4 linked regions of the Xenopus tropicalis genome follow. The protein of the gene in region 3 interacts with the protein of the main gene of each other region in a pairwise test. Links are inferred from orthologs where the notes say so. Each region holds a gene or a part of one and is shown on either strand. Other genes may lie near its edges. The genes, in order: sdcbp, prtfdc1, flad1 and trim23.

Region 1 (3,651 bases), on a different chromosome or scaffold from region 3:
TTTTATGAATTTCATCTTCACTGAGACTTAAGCCCATGTACTGTTCCAGTTCTGGATAAAGCTTAGGGTACATCCCTGTACAAAAAGAAAACACAGACTATTGGTCTCTTGGTTATGAAGGATTTCTGAATGCAGCACAACACCTACTAGTCAGTTTTAATATATATATATATATGTTATACAGGTCTGATTCACTCAACCCCTACTAAATCTTTCCCCACCGAGTCACTGAGTAACCCACCATCCATTTTTCATAGGCCTCTATGATGATCCAATATATTGGCCTAGGACTATAAACAATCACATCATCCCAATTAGGCCCACTGTTGGCTACATGGGGAAAAGATCTGCTCTTTTGGGAACCTCACTAAACAAGTTTTTGTGTATGGCCAACTAATGATGAAGTATATAAATAAGTCTGTAGACATTACCTCCATATTGAGGAGCTGATGCTGAAGCAGCAGGCAATATTGCTGGATTGACTGGGTTTGCAGAAAAAGTTGTCTGTGCCTGTAGAAAAACAAAACACACATAATTCAATATAGCAATTTATAAAGAACACCCTTCAGCTACATAATGTGCAGTTCAGGTGAATAGAAAAGGTATATTAAGATATTATTGTGCATGTTATTTAAAAAGTACAATGTACGGCTTTGTTTTAACCTGCAATCGAATTTAGCTGACAGATCTAAATATGGCTATATAAACAGAAGGAAGAACTCACTGTTTGTCTAACAAGTGGATCTTTAACCAGTGCAACCACATACATAGTGGGTCTAATGTGTCTGATCCAAGAAGTTGGTCCTTAGGCCAACAATCAGATTATAAAGTGGGTTCTGATTAAGCACAGTTTGACCACCGATACAACAGGCCAATTGCGTCCTGATTAGATTTTGGCTCTAGAAATGCTTCCAATCTGGCCAAGAATGAATTGGCTGGAGATAACTTGCCAACAATATTAAAAATAAAACCCTGGGATCCGGTTTCTGATTCCTTACTTGCACTTATGCCTCTTTTTTAATATTCCTGGATTTTATGTTTTAATTCAGTTTTACTACGTTGACCTAAGTCGGTAAAATCAAGGGTTAATCAAGGCCCCAGAACTATAAACATTGCACAAGCTGCAGAAAACAGCACCGACTCCATGATGCTAGCAACAGGGCAGCTATGCCTGGGAAATATCATATTGTCCCCTCGGGGTTAACAGGTCACATTCTTGAAGTGATCTCATATACAAACAGCACTCTGCTTTTCTGCTGCTGTGCATAAGCAATGAAGGATCAACAGAACAAAGAGTTATAAATTAGTCATTTGTTTCCTTTAAAAAAAAAACAAAAACCTATATCCATTAGAAACCATAGAAGGCAGCGGCTTTTTGTTCCAGTGAATAAAGCAGATCAATCAAGCTAAGATAAATAAATGATTGTAGGAAGCTACTGGACAGCTCATGCACAAGCAGTAAAAGCCCATTACCTGGCGCTCAGCAATTTTCTTTGGGGCTTTACAAGGACACATACTATTAACGTTCAAAGACCATGGCACTTAGCAATTCCAGTCAGGCTGAATCCCTCTTCTTTTTCAATGCTCCTCACAAATTTCACAGTGCAAGTGGAGAAGAATAAACCACTGTACTCATACTCATTGGAGTGAATAACAGTGCCTTTGATTCTGACTATTTAACTGCTCATACTGGACTAAAAAAAAGTTCTGTTTTCGGTAACACTGTTCAAAAAAATAAAGGGCATGCTGACCCAAAATTATAAATGTGCCTTATAAATGAAAATGTAATTCTAAGCAACTTTGCAATATGCACTTGTTAAAATATTCAGTGCTTTTAAAGTTATTTGTAAATACAGCAGCTACAGAAAGCAATATTTGCTTAAACTCCTTTTTGGGTTTTTTTTTTAAACAATGTTGCGAAAGTCCAAGTTCCCAAGCAAAGACAGAGCTGTAAACCTGTAAATCAGCTGGGTTGTTTTACACTGTGTCAACAGTCTGGGCCAGGGGCAGGGAATAGAAAGGCACACAAATTACATATACAAATAACATAAAAACTGTATTGAATTTATACAGCAAAGTTGCTAAGAATTACGTTTTCTTTTATTAGGCAAAAGGTGCAGAAGCCAACCAACCTTAACATCTCAGAACAAATCCACCTGTAACATTTGGCTAACGGTGGATCTCTGCTCCGAACAGCACTTTCTATATGATCCAAAACAAACCTACTTACCTGAACATGGGCTCCCATGCAATACTGAAAACAGGACATCCCCTCCACTTCCATAAAACATAGTGTATATTTAATGTCAAATGAAAGACCTTGAATAGATCAATTTAGCAATAAAAGCCAAGGTATAAACAAACTCACCTGGATGACTTTGTCAACCTTCAGGTCCTCCAGTGAGGGATACAGAGACATTTTTACAGACCTGGGGGTGGGAAAAAAAATGTTACACATGATGGATGTTGCTAGAAACTGGCCTGGTTTATGGGCACTTGTGGAGTTTGGTTTCCATCCCACCCCACACTCACATCTGCATCGGTGTATGTATTGTGTGAATCTCCCCATAGCAGTAATGTTCAGACTGTAGCAAAGGAAAGCTACTTTATATGACACTATAATACATTAACATTCACCTGATAAAGGTAATATAGTTTTAGTTTGTGGTAAGTTTTACCTTTCCTTTCAACTCCTCTAATAGAAATAACTGCCTAGGAAATGTCTTCATTCTTAGTTGCTATTTAAGAGAAAATGAAATGGAAGGTAAAAATATAAAATGTTCCTTTTATTTACATTATTTAGCCACAAGTACCCAGACACCCCTTCGAACAACCAGAATTGGCTATTCACGCTTCACCCATTGCTGACACAAACCACTGACCCACCGCCACTAAATCATTACCAACAGAGAGCTCAGCTCAGTTTCAACATGGCCCCTTTCCAGCAAGTTTATTGAAATATATGCCGAGAAGTCAAGTGAAGTGGAGGTTTCTAGGCACACTGGCAGTTCAGTCACACAGTGACAGAAAGGGGCTGCCGAGAGCTGAAGCTTGTTGTGCATCAATATTTTATGTTCTCAGACACAACCTCGAGGTTCCAAATGGTCTGCAACGTCTGCACTACAGATGCTGTAAATCCAATTATTTGGGATTTGGTCAAAACCTGAATCTTTTGTGAAAGATTTGCCAAATACAGAACCCAAATCCTAATTTGTATTGGCAAATTAAGCCCCCGAAGACTTAAAAATTAATTTTAAGGACTCGGTTCAGCCTGGACCATGTAATATGGCATTTACAGCCATGTTTATTTTTAGGTTTTCCTCCTCCTTTAATTTTTATACATAAAAAAAAATGACAAAACTGGTTTCCCTTATTTCACCAGCCTTTCAAGTTATGCAATTATGGTAAGTACAAGGAAAGCCAATTCGATATAATGAACATGACTCGTGACTTTATAAGAGGATTAATGCATCATGACCACAAGCAGATGACTGTCATATGATCTGCTTGCAAAGAAAGCAGCTTGCAAACCATTTACTTAGTGTTCCTGAAATTCCACATCCAGCAACACATGTTTTACATGTTTCAAAAAAGTACTGCAGTACAACCTGTTCATACTGGAGTGGTCATGATCAGTTATTTACTTACATA
Region 2 (3,203 bases), on a different chromosome or scaffold from region 3:
AGTGCAAAAAATCATAACTATAGAATTTAATTTCTCTGTTACCTACTCCTATAATTAGATAAGATGTGCCTTGGTAAATACCCATTTTAATCATTGGCATGACTACCTTTTTTCTGTATCTTTTCAAGGACATTATTAACACTGGAAGGACAATGACTGCACTTCTCAGTCAGCTAGAAAAATACAAACCAAAGATGGTGAAAGTGGCAAGGTTGGTAGACACCACAGTTTGGGCATTGTAGGACATGTCCCTCCATTGCATTAGCTTTAACCCTTACAGATAATATATACCATAAAAACAAATAAAAGTAATGCTCTTTTTGCAACATACAATATTTTTTCCTGCTTTTCTAGTTTCATTAGCTGTTTTTAATGAATTTGATGCCACAGCACCACCTGCTGGTCATTTCCACTACAGTCAGCAGAAAATTATTTTTTTTAGAAAAGGAAAGTCTTGTGATGATGCTTTGCTTTGAAAATTAAATTAGTGAGCAGAGAAGAGTCATCTGACATTTCTCTGTAGCCAGTCAGCCAAAATGGCCAGCAGGTGGTGCTGTTGTATCAAATTCATTATATTAGCAGTTTAAAAATTGTTACTATCTTAAAAATAGAAAAAGAAAATGAATGTAAGCACTCTTAGCAATTTTACATTAATTTGTTTTGTGAGTTTGTATATCCTTTAATCTTTCTTCCTTGGTTGTTTTTTTACCAGAAATGTATCCAGTGTCATACCTTGTAGAATCTAAATTAACCTGCACACTAAACTTAACTTTCACCAGCAGTCACCTGCAGAGGAAAGAGCTAGGTGTATCCATTCTACAAGGCAGGCAACTGTGTACAGGTATAGGACCCATTATGCAGAATGCTCGCGACCAAGGGTATTCTGGATAAGGGGTCTTTCTGTAATTTGGATCTCCATACCTTAAGTCTGCTAAAAAATCAATAAAACATTAATTAAACACAATAGGATTGTTTTGCATCCAATAAGGATTATTTATATCTTAGTTGGGATCAATTACAAGGTACTGTTTTATTACTACAGAGAAAAAGGAAATCCGTTTTAAAATTCTGACTTATTTGATTAAAATGGAGTCTATGGGGGGTGGGCTTTCTGGATAACGGGTTTCCGGATAAGGGGTCTGATACCTGTATATGGTATAGTAGGGATGTAATGAATGGGGAAACTGGCAAATGCAGCCTTGTGAATAAGGGGGCAAATAAAAGTTGGTCTGGGAGCCTCTGCGTCAGGCTGCTTTCATCTGCCTAATATACAAGGGGCAGCTAGTGATTTAGGTTTAATTTGCTGAAGAAAATAAAAATACCTTTTGATATTGTTTTTATGCAGCTTGCTGGTGAAAAGATCAGCGTCCAGCAATCAGTACAGACCTGACTGTAAGTATTTTTGTACGTACATGTCACTATTGTAGGGAAACAACTGCCCCACGACAATAAATTCCAGGCATTGATAAATATGATGAGCCCTTACTATTCCCAGGCCTAGGTCAGCAGTGCTAACCCCTGTGCCAGCAGCATGATGCCCTCTGTTTGAGTGTTCTTGCAATGCTGGCTTGACCCTAGTCGATACAGGTATGGGACCTGTTATCCAGAATGCTTAAGAACTAGGGTTTTCCAGATAAGGGGTCTTTGCATAATTTGGATCCCCATATGCTAAGTCTACTAAGAAGTCATTTAAACATTAAATAAACTAAATTGGATTGTTTGGCCCCCAATAAGGGTTAATTATACCATAGTTGGGATCATGCCACCCTAGTCTGTCACTTTCACAATGTACTAATAATATGCTTTGTTTGCCCTTTAACTGGCCTTGTACGTTGTTTTTATTCATAGACACTGGATTTGAAATTCCCAACAAATTTGTGGTTGGCTATGCCTTGGATTACAATGAGTATTTTCGAGACCTTCATGTAAGTATGTTAATTGTTTGTGTGCGCTGACCCATTATTCACGCGGCACAGCCGTGGAAAGATTGACCTTTTAGTACTGTGCCCGGGTCCCTCAGTGATTAACTCCAGCGATAGCATTGCACACACAATGGAAACACTGTAGGCCAGCATTTCTCTGCAACCGCTGCTTAATCACATTAGAGGCTGGGGATAAATATAGGCATTTTTGTCAAACTACAATGTTCCTGGAAGGGCCCGGCCCGTAGACATAGGGCACACGTGTTGATTTTAGGCCATTGTAATATCTCCTTCCTATTGCTAGTAAGGGAATTGTGTGAAACACATGAAATTCACCAAAGTTTGTGTTTTTGTGTCAACAGTGGGTGGCAATTTAGGGTGTTTCAGTTCCACTAACCTTCCCAATAGTGTAACCTTACCTTATAGTGTAACCCTACCCGATAGTGTAACCCTACCCGATAGTGTAACCTTACCTTATAGTGTAACCCTACCCGATAGTGTAACCCTACCCGATAGCGTAACCTTACCTTATAGTGTAACCCTACCCGATAGCGTAACCTTACCTTATAGTGTAACCCTACCCGATAGCGTAACCTTACCTTATAGTGTAACCCTACCCGATAGTGTAACCTTACCTTATAGTGTAACCCTACCCGATAGCGTAACCCTACCCGATAGCGTAACCCTACCCGATAGCGTAACCCTACCCGATAGCGTAACCCTACCCGATAGCGTAACCCTACCCGATAGCGCAACCCTACCCGATAGCGTAACCCTACCCTATAGCGTAACCCTACCCGATAGTGTAACCTTACCTTATAGCGTAACCTTACCTTATAGTGTAACCCTACTCGATAGTGTAACCTTACCTTATAGTGTAACCCTACCCAATAGCGTAACCTTACCTTATAGTGTAACCCTACCCGATAGCGTAACCTTACCTTATAGTGTAACCCTACCCGATAGCGTAACCTTACCTTATAGTGTAACCCTACTCGATAGCGTAACCTTACCTTATAGTGTAACCCTACCCGATAGTGTAACCTTACCTTATAGTGTAACCCTACCCGATAGCGTAACCCTACCCGATAGCGTAACCCTACCCGATAGCGTAACCCTACCCGATAGCGTAACCCTACCCGATAGCGTAACCCTACCCGATAGTGTAACCCTACCCGATAGTGTAACCTTACCTTATAGTGTAACCCTACCCGATAGTGTAACCCTACCCCATAGCGTAACCTTACCTTATAGTGTAACCCTACCCGATAGCGTAACCTT
Region 3 (3,651 bases):
CGTGGGTCCCCCTGGCGTCCTGCCCCTGGCGTGGGTCCCCCTGGCGTTCTGCCCCTGGCGTGGGTCCCCCTGGCGTTCTGCCCCTAGCGTGGGTCCCCTCTGGTGTTCTGCCCCTAGCATGGGTAACCCTGGCATTCTGCCCCTAGCGTGGGTCCCCCTGGCGTTCTGCCCCTAGCGTGGGTCCCCCTGGCGTTCTGCCCCTAGTGTGGGTCCCCTCTGGTGTTCTGCCCCTAGCGTGGGTCCCCCTGGCGTTCTGCCCCTAGCGTGGGTCCCCCTGGCGTTCTGCCCCTAGTGTGGGCCCCCTCTGGTGTTCTGCCCCTAGCGTGGGTAACCCTGGTGTTCTGCCCCTAGTGTGGGTCCCCTGGTGTTCTGCCCCTTGGCACTTGTACCCTCCTGGCCGTGGGTCCCTGGCGTTCACTGTACAGTGGGACACAAGGACGGGCATCAAACTTACAGACACATCAGAAGGACGAGGAACTGAGAGGGGGGGGGAGTGAAGACATTCACTCCCCCATTATTGGCACTTAAAGCTCCAGTACAGTCTGACTGACAAACAGCCCCCCCGCCCCCCCACAGACTGGCAGGCAAGTTAGGAGGAGGGAACCATTTAGTGACGGGGGTGGGGGGGCACTGATGATTGGGGGGTGGGGCACTGATGATTGGGGGGTGGGGCACTGATGGTTGGGGGGTGGGGCACTGATGATTGGGGGGTGGGGCACTGATGATTGGGGGGTGGGGCACTGAGGATGGGGTGGGTGGGGCACTGATGATGGGGTGGGTGGGGCACTGATGATAGGGGGGTGGGGCACTGATGATAGGGGGGTGGGGCACTGATGATAGGGGGGTGGGGCACTGATGATAGGGGGGTGGGGCACAGATGATAGGGGGGTGGGGCACAGATGATGGGGTGGGTGGGGCACAGATGATGGGGTGGGTGGGGCACTGATGATAGGGGGGTGGGGCACAGATGATGGGGTGGGTGGGGCACAGATGATGAGGTGGGTGGGGCACTGATGATTGGGGGGTGGGGCACTGATGATGAGGTGGGTGGGGCACTAATGATGAGGTGGGTGGGGCACTGAGGATGAGGTGGGTGGGGCACTGATGATTGGGGGGTGGGGCACTGATGATTGGGGGGTGGGGCACTGATGATAGGGGGGACACTGATGTGTCAAGACTAATTACTTCCTGGAGACTCGCTCCTCCTCCTCATTTTCCAGCTTGTAGGCAGGCTGGTAGCTCTCAGTGCCCCCCGGGGTGGTGAATCGCAGGGCCGGGTTCTTCACGGTGTTCTCCATGCTGCCCAGAGACGTGTAACTGTAACGGGAGTGGGTGGAGTCAGGGACCCGCGGGAGGAGGAGCTAGAAAGGGCCACATACAGATATAGGGAGCAGAATGAGATGCACAGGGATAGTTACCCTTTATCATAGAGAATACAGTAGGGAATGTAGAGAGTCCGCAGGAAGTCCCAGATGTCTCCGTACGACCAATCCTGCAGTGGGGAATAATAATAACGTTGCACTGGCGCTTCTGACACTGCAGGACTTGTATTGTGAAAGTAGGCAAATCCTTGCCCTGGGGGGGGCGCTCTGCAACTAGAGGCTTGGCTGCTCCCAATGATATGAGCCAAATAGGAACAATAACCTGCATGTGTCACTGAGCATTATGGGAAATTAAAGGCACTGACCCCCACCAAGAGAGGAATAGGATGTCAGGGAGTAGTACTGACCCACTAAGCTGACACTTGGCAGGGAGGCGCACCCCGTACCTCCTTGGGTAACAAGCAAAGGGAGTGGCACACAGAGCTGACACTCACCAGTAGGGGGTTCACTCGCATGTACTGGGGCCAGTCGGGGTCCGTCAGGCACATGGGGGTCAGTGTCCGGGAGTAGGGGTCGGAGCGCCTGGTGCCCATCAGAACCGCTTCCAGATTGGGTTGTTCTGCTTTCAGGTCCATAAGCGCCTGCTTGATGTACCCCTGGATGGTGTAGATCCGGAGATTGTACCTGTAGGGGCAATAAGGGGGGTTACGCTCAGAGCCCGGGGGGGGGGTCGCTGACCCCACAGGGCTCCTCTCACCGTTTGGTCGTGCTCTGCATGAACTGCTCCATCTCTGGGAAGGGCGAGACGATCCGGATGTACAGCGCCTGCAGGTGGTCCTTCCGCTCCGGGTATTTCCTGAGGGGCAAAGAAGGGGAGTGGGTGACCTGGGGCACCTCCTGACTGGGGGGGCTCTGTGGGGGGCATCTCCTCACCTCTGTACAGCGGCGTGGAACAGGTGCAGGAGGGCCGTGCAGTCTTTGCCCCCATTAAAGGCCACACAGATCTTGTCCAGGCTGTAAGTGTCGAGCCCCTCCTCCAGGATGCGCAGTGCCGCCGCCACCTTGTCCCCCAGGGGCGAGCCTATTGGGCACAAGGGAATCACTGCCGTGACTGGGTGCCACACTGGGGCCCCACCCTCCCAGGGTTCCACACAGGGGCCCCACCCTCTACTCACACTGATTGGATTCACTTACCCAGGGGGATGTTCTTGCCTGACCATGGGAAAGAGAGCAGCCCAGGAGCAGGAAGTACAGAGAATCAGAGCTCTGTACCTGGGTAAGTACTGGGGGGAGATTGGATTCACTTACCCAGGGGGAGGTTCCTGCCTGACCATGGGAAAGAGAGCAGCCCAGGAGCAGGAAGTACAGAGAATCAGAGCTCTGTACCTGGGTAAGTACTGGGGGGAGATTGGATTCACTTACCCGGGGGGGGGTTCCTGCCTGACCATGGGAAAGAGAGCAGCCCAGGAGCAGGAAGTACAGAGAATCAGAGCTCTGTACCTGGGTAAGTACTGGGGGGAGATTGGATTCACTTACCTTGGGGGGGTTCCTGCCTGACCATGGGAAAGAGAGCAGCCCAGGAGCAGGAAGTACAGAGAATCAGAGCTCTGTACCTGGGTAAGTACTGGGGGGAGATTGGATTCACTTACCCAGGGGGGAGGTTCCTGCCTGACCATGGGAAAGAGAGCAGCCCAGGAGCAGGAAGTACAGAGAATCAGAGCTCTGTACCTGGGTAAGTACTGGGGGGAGATTGGATTCACTTACCCGGGGGGGGTTCCTGCCTGACCATGGGAAAGAGAGCAGCCCAGGAGCAGGAAGTACAGAGAATCAGAGCTCTGTACCTGGGTAAGTACTGGGGGGAGATTGGATTCACTTACCCAGGGGGAGGTTCCTGTCTGACCATGGGAAAGAGAGCAGCCCAGGAGCAGGAAGTACAGAGAATCAGAGCTCTGTACCTGGGTAAGTACTGGGGGGAGATTGGATTCACTTACCCAGGGGGGAGTTCCTGCCTGACCATGGGAAAGAGAGCAGCCCAGGAGCAGGAAGTACAGAGAATCAGAGCTCTGTACCTGGGTAAGTACTGGGGGGAGATTGGATCCACTTACCCAGGGGGGGGTTCCTGTCTGACCATGGGAAAGAGAGCAGCCCAGGAGCAGGAAGTACAGAGAATACATTTAACCCTATAAGCCACGCCATAGGGTACCTGACTGGGCAAGCTGATAGACTTGGGCTGCCGCCTGTGTCACTGGATCCTTTACAAATGGCACCACCACCCCGGGGGGCAGATGTTCTATCAGGAACTTGTGAGCTTCCTCCAGACGCGCCTCGG
Region 4 (4,383 bases), on a different chromosome or scaffold from region 3:
CAGAGCCGCCCATTGCCTCTTCTACAGTGCTACACTGACTACTGGCACCATTCTGCAACCGCTCCAGGAGTTCCAGTAATGCAAAATTTTTCTTTAAGCCCCACACACCAGAGTCTCCTGTATAAGAACAAGACATTTACACATTATTTAAACAAATAATAATCTTAATTTCTTACTGTTCAGCTTCTCTGCAATTATAAGACAATGCCTAGTACTTGATGGCAATGAAGGTAGCTTATTGTATCCAAACTGGCATCAAAACAATATATATATTTTTTAAATATGTCAATGCTTATTTAACAGTCTTAAGGCATGATGATCCAAATTAAAGAAAAAAACCTAATCCCATACCAAAGGAATAATTCATTAAATAAAACAAATGGTTTTTAACATTTTGGAACAGAATAAAGGAGAGATTCTCAAAAGATGGGCTGTTCCCAGAGTTTCTAAAGCACACCCAGACTGGCAATCTGTGGATTCTGGCAAATGCCAGAGGGGCAGCTGCCTATTATAAATCCCAGTCTGGGCCTGTTTGAGAGCAGTGGGTCACCCAGTATCTATTTGTTGCAAGAGAGAGCAGCTAGTGCAGAGCAACTTGAAGCAAATGGGAAGCAATCTGCAGCAGGTAACAGCTATCAAAATCCTTGTGTTATAGAGACCTTAAATACATTACATAATACTATTGCTTAGTAAAGTAAAAAATGAATTCTTTAATACCTAGTTCAGTAGCTTGTCTGTCAAATGGACAGCGTATGGCTCTGCCATGAAGAGGCAGGCGTGTTAGACAGTCATGGCACACAGTATGGCCGCAAAGCAGCAAACGTGGAACTTTATCTCCTTGCAGTGAAAAGACATCTTCACAGACACCACATTCCAGAACCTAGTGTTGATTAAACAATTGTGGAAAGGTTACATTGTGGAGAGACATTTAAATATATCAGTCTGAAAGTTACGAGGATGCAACCATGTTGCTGGATGTATCATTTGCTTGCTAAAGATCAGGCTGGGGACCACTGCTCCTCCTGAACAGCCCAGGAAAGCTGCCTGTGGAAGTGGAAAGGCTGGGTGGTGCTAATAAGGTTTAAGATAAATTAAAGCAGCATTTTCTCTTAAAATGATACAGTGCTATGTATCCTTGCAGCAATATAAAAATAAAGTTATAAATACATACAATAGGCTTATTGCCTTTGCAGATGTGGGTATGGAATATCAATAGCTGCCATTGGGTATTATCCATATGCTTCCTACATCTAGCTGACTTTGCATGCTGGGAGTTGTAGTTCATTGGGAGTTAAAACGCATAGGAAAGTTGAAAGACAACCCTGTATAGGACATTTACACTTATCCATACAGCCAGGGCTGGAGTTAAAGGGGGGTGGGTAGCTTGCAATGCAGAAAGCCTGGAGTCTGATGAAGGGGATTAATATATGTATATATAATATATTAGGGATGTTTAACCTGCAGCCCTCCAGTTGTTGTTCTGCTAGAACTCTCAATAGCCCTACTAGCCAATGTATGGAGGTGCAGTACAACAAGAACAAAGAGCTCTAAGGCTGCCCATAGCTAATGTCAGTGGCATAACTAGAGGTGTCTGGGCCCCACAGCAAATTCATATTACCCCCCCCCCCCCCCCCTAAAGTTTAAGAGTTATTGTACATAAGTATATACTGGAATTGCTTATCACTCAGTGTCTGGGCCCCACAGCAAATTCATATTACCCCCCCCTAAAGTTTAAGAGTTATTGTACATAAGTATATACTGGAATTGCTTATCACTCAGTGTCTGGGCCCCGCAGCAAATTCATATTACCCCCCCCCCCCCTAAAGTTTAAGAGTTATTGTACATAAGTATATACTGGAATTGCTTATCACTCAGTGTCTGGGCCCCGCAGCAAATTCATATTACCCCCCCCCCCCCTAAAGTTTAAGAGTTATTGTACATAAGTATATACTGGAATTGCTTATCACTCAGTGTCTGGGCCCCGCAGCAAATTCATATTACCCCCCCCCCCCCTAAAGTTTAAGAGTTATTGTACATAAGTATATACTGGAATTGCTTATCACTCAGTGTCTGGGCCCCGCAGCTTCCTCTCTAGCACAATATAATAGGCCCTTTCTGCTTTGTTTCCCCCTAGGAGTATCCCATCTCCGAAACTGCCCTTTCCCCTAAAGCCTCCCTGCACTCTGCAACGAAATGATGTAGGAAGGAGAATGCATATAGCCAGACGCAGGGGGGCCCTCCTGCAGGGATAAACCAGGGCCCAAACTACACGGCATACACTTCTCCCGTAACCCTGCTCTAGTATCACCTTTACTGCTCCCCCCGGACCGGTCCGGCTCTGCCGTCCGCTGCCCTCCATTCTTCCAGGGCCGCCGTGTCTGTTTACAGCGACAGCCATGTTGACAGCTGGACCGTACCACTTCGGGTAGAGGGTTGAGAAATCATGTGAATCCTGGTGTTGAAAATGGCATTATTTAAGAATAAACCCTGTTTTAAAAAACAATGAATATATCTACTTAGGTTCATAACAGTAGCAATCTGAGAAGTCTAATCCGTATGACACCACCGACTGAGCAAAAGGCTTTTAAAACTATTACTAGCGAAACCGCAAAGTGGTTTCACCCAATAGCTATAACCCAACTCAGTCTCTTGCCTCAGAAAAATGGGAGCTAACGCTATAAGGCGCCATCTTAAACATTGGCAAACGTGCCCTCATATTTTTCCCCTGAAACAAAAACAAAATGATAGATAGCAGAGACGGCGATTCTGTGGTTCTGCAGCTTTTGTCGAAATAAAAGTTTTGCAGGGCTCTGTTGCAATGTGAATAATAGAACTGAGAAGCGGAAAAAGCCTCTGCGCATGCGCATTTTGTTTTACTAGAACTGGCCCTTTCGTCTTCCCGTACAGGCAGTTCCGGGTGTGTGTAGGGGTGGTGACGGCGGTTCTGGCACCATGGACGTCAATCAGCCCAAGCAGGAACATTTGTTGGCCCTGAAAGGTATCAGTGTGAGGCTGTGGTGTGTGTTCTCTGCGCCCTGACTGGGGAGTCAGCCCGGCCTGCCCCAAGCTGTAGCACAGGAGCCAGAGCTTTCCTGCACTGGCCATTCCCATAGGTGTCCTGGCCCACTCACTTCTGTTCCAGAGTACATAGACTATGCACCTAAGCAAGAGGCTGCCCTGCCTTGCCCTGTCATTTCTAGTTACTTCCATCCCTTGCCATTATGGTAGCCACATTGAGTGATCTTCTTAACCATTGATGCTACAGTAACCCCATGGCAGCGCAGTTAGTGCAAATGATTATTCTGCAAAGCAGCAGTTACTCAGATTGTCTGCCATAGCTGAGTGGCCCCCTCCTGCTTATGCTTGCGTTTGGAGCAGGTTGGGGGCCCATAGGACACAAAGAAAGTGCATGGAATTAACCAATTGGGCATGATCTCATTGGTGGGCTCCACAACGGTTACAATACATTTTTGTATGATTATCCTCAAGCAGGGGAACTAAAATACAATAATGCTGGAAATACAGAAAAACTCTGTGCTGACTAATAGACATGATAAATGATAGACATACCAACCTGTACCAACAGTGATGGGAAAGATAAACTGTAATCTCAACTAAACCAGGTTTTTATTAAGAATATATCATTAAGGAACATTTGTTCTAATTAAAAGTAAGTTAATAGCAAGGATGAGCTCATCCAGCTGACAAATATAAGGGTTCTACTATTTTTTGAGAGCAGCGTCATTCAAAAGTTACAGTAGATGTAATAAATAGCCCTGGTATCAGGTAGTAATTATTTAGGTCTTTTGGGGCTTTAAAACATTACACGGGGGCCAATTTATGCATATACGTGTAAGGGGTGCAACAAACAGCATTGTAAAGTGAACCTTGTGCAAGCAGAGCTGTGCAGCAAAACAAATTAATGGCACACACAATGCCAAATTAACTAACATTAATGGAACAGGCAGGTCAGTACAATGAAATATAATACAAAATACAGTTACATTCAGGATTAAGTGGTAGAGACGAGAGGAAAGAGATTTTCCCCATAGAATCTAGATAGGAGTTCTCTAATAATCAGACATTGATAGATGTAAAGCAAAACATTTTTTCCCATAAGTGCTTTAAGAAGATTTTTCTGATCAATTTAGTGGCTTGGAATATAAGCAATACAGTATGAAAATAATACGATAATTCTCTTTTGGTGCTGGCTGCTTTGTAAATAGCTGCTCCAAAGTGCAAATATAAAATTTAATAGATTGTTAACAACATTTTTTTTTTGTGGATTTGCTTCAGTTTATGGTGTCATTATGTGTTACAGGTATGGAACCTGTTATCCAGAATGTTCAGAACCTAAGGCTTTTCCACATAATAAAACCTAAT

The links.
Region 1: the proteins of flad1 (region 3) and sdcbp interact in binary tests that used the Homo sapiens proteins (3 or more experiments, as listed by UniProt). The two-hybrid records come from large-scale screens. The link is inferred for Xenopus tropicalis from reciprocal best matches to the Homo sapiens genes FLAD1 and SDCBP.
Region 2: the proteins of flad1 (region 3) and prtfdc1 interact in binary tests that used the Homo sapiens proteins (3 or more experiments, as listed by UniProt). The two-hybrid records come from large-scale screens. The link is inferred for Xenopus tropicalis from reciprocal best matches to the Homo sapiens genes FLAD1 and PRTFDC1.
Region 4: the proteins of flad1 (region 3) and trim23 interact in binary tests that used the Homo sapiens proteins (3 or more experiments, as listed by UniProt). The two-hybrid records come from large-scale screens. The link is inferred for Xenopus tropicalis from reciprocal best matches to the Homo sapiens genes FLAD1 and TRIM23.

The regions. Positions count from the first base shown.
Region 1 is NC_030682.2:116,378,166-116,381,816, reverse strand, and holds part of sdcbp (syntenin-1), read right to left. Parts: intron 2,430-3,651; 5' UTR 2,420-2,429; coding exon 2,369-2,419; intron 511-2,368; coding exon 432-510; intron 76-431; coding exon 1-75. UniProt on the Homo sapiens protein: Multifunctional adapter protein involved in diverse array of functions including trafficking of transmembrane proteins, neuro and immunomodulation, exosome biogenesis, and tumorigenesis.
Region 2 is NC_030682.2:25,741,754-25,744,956, forward strand, and holds part of prtfdc1 (phosphoribosyltransferase domain-containing protein 1), read left to right. Parts: intron 1-128; coding exon 129-211; intron 212-1,345; coding exon 1,346-1,392; intron 1,393-1,848; coding exon 1,849-1,925; intron 1,926-3,203. UniProt on the Homo sapiens protein: Has low, barely detectable phosphoribosyltransferase activity (in vitro). Binds GMP, IMP and alpha-D-5-phosphoribosyl 1-pyrophosphate (PRPP). Is not expected to contribute to purine metabolism or GMP salvage.
Region 3 is NC_030684.2:145,234,892-145,238,542, reverse strand, and holds part of flad1 (FAD synthase), read right to left. Parts: coding exon 3,526-3,651; intron 2,404-3,525; coding exon 2,256-2,403; intron 2,179-2,255; coding exon 2,080-2,178; intron 2,007-2,079; coding exon 1,817-2,006; intron 1,493-1,816; coding exon 1,419-1,492; intron 1,318-1,418; coding exon 1,186-1,317; intron 1-1,185. UniProt on the Homo sapiens protein: Catalyzes the adenylation of flavin mononucleotide (FMN) to form flavin adenine dinucleotide (FAD) coenzyme.
Region 4 is NC_030677.2:187,786,800-187,791,182, reverse strand, and holds the start of trim23 (E3 ubiquitin-protein ligase TRIM23), read right to left. Parts: upstream 2,865-4,383; 5' UTR 2,399-2,864; coding exon 2,309-2,398; intron 881-2,308; coding exon 718-880; intron 118-717; coding exon 1-117. Other genes in the region: trappc13 (trafficking protein particle complex subunit 13), read left to right, coding at 2,953-2,998.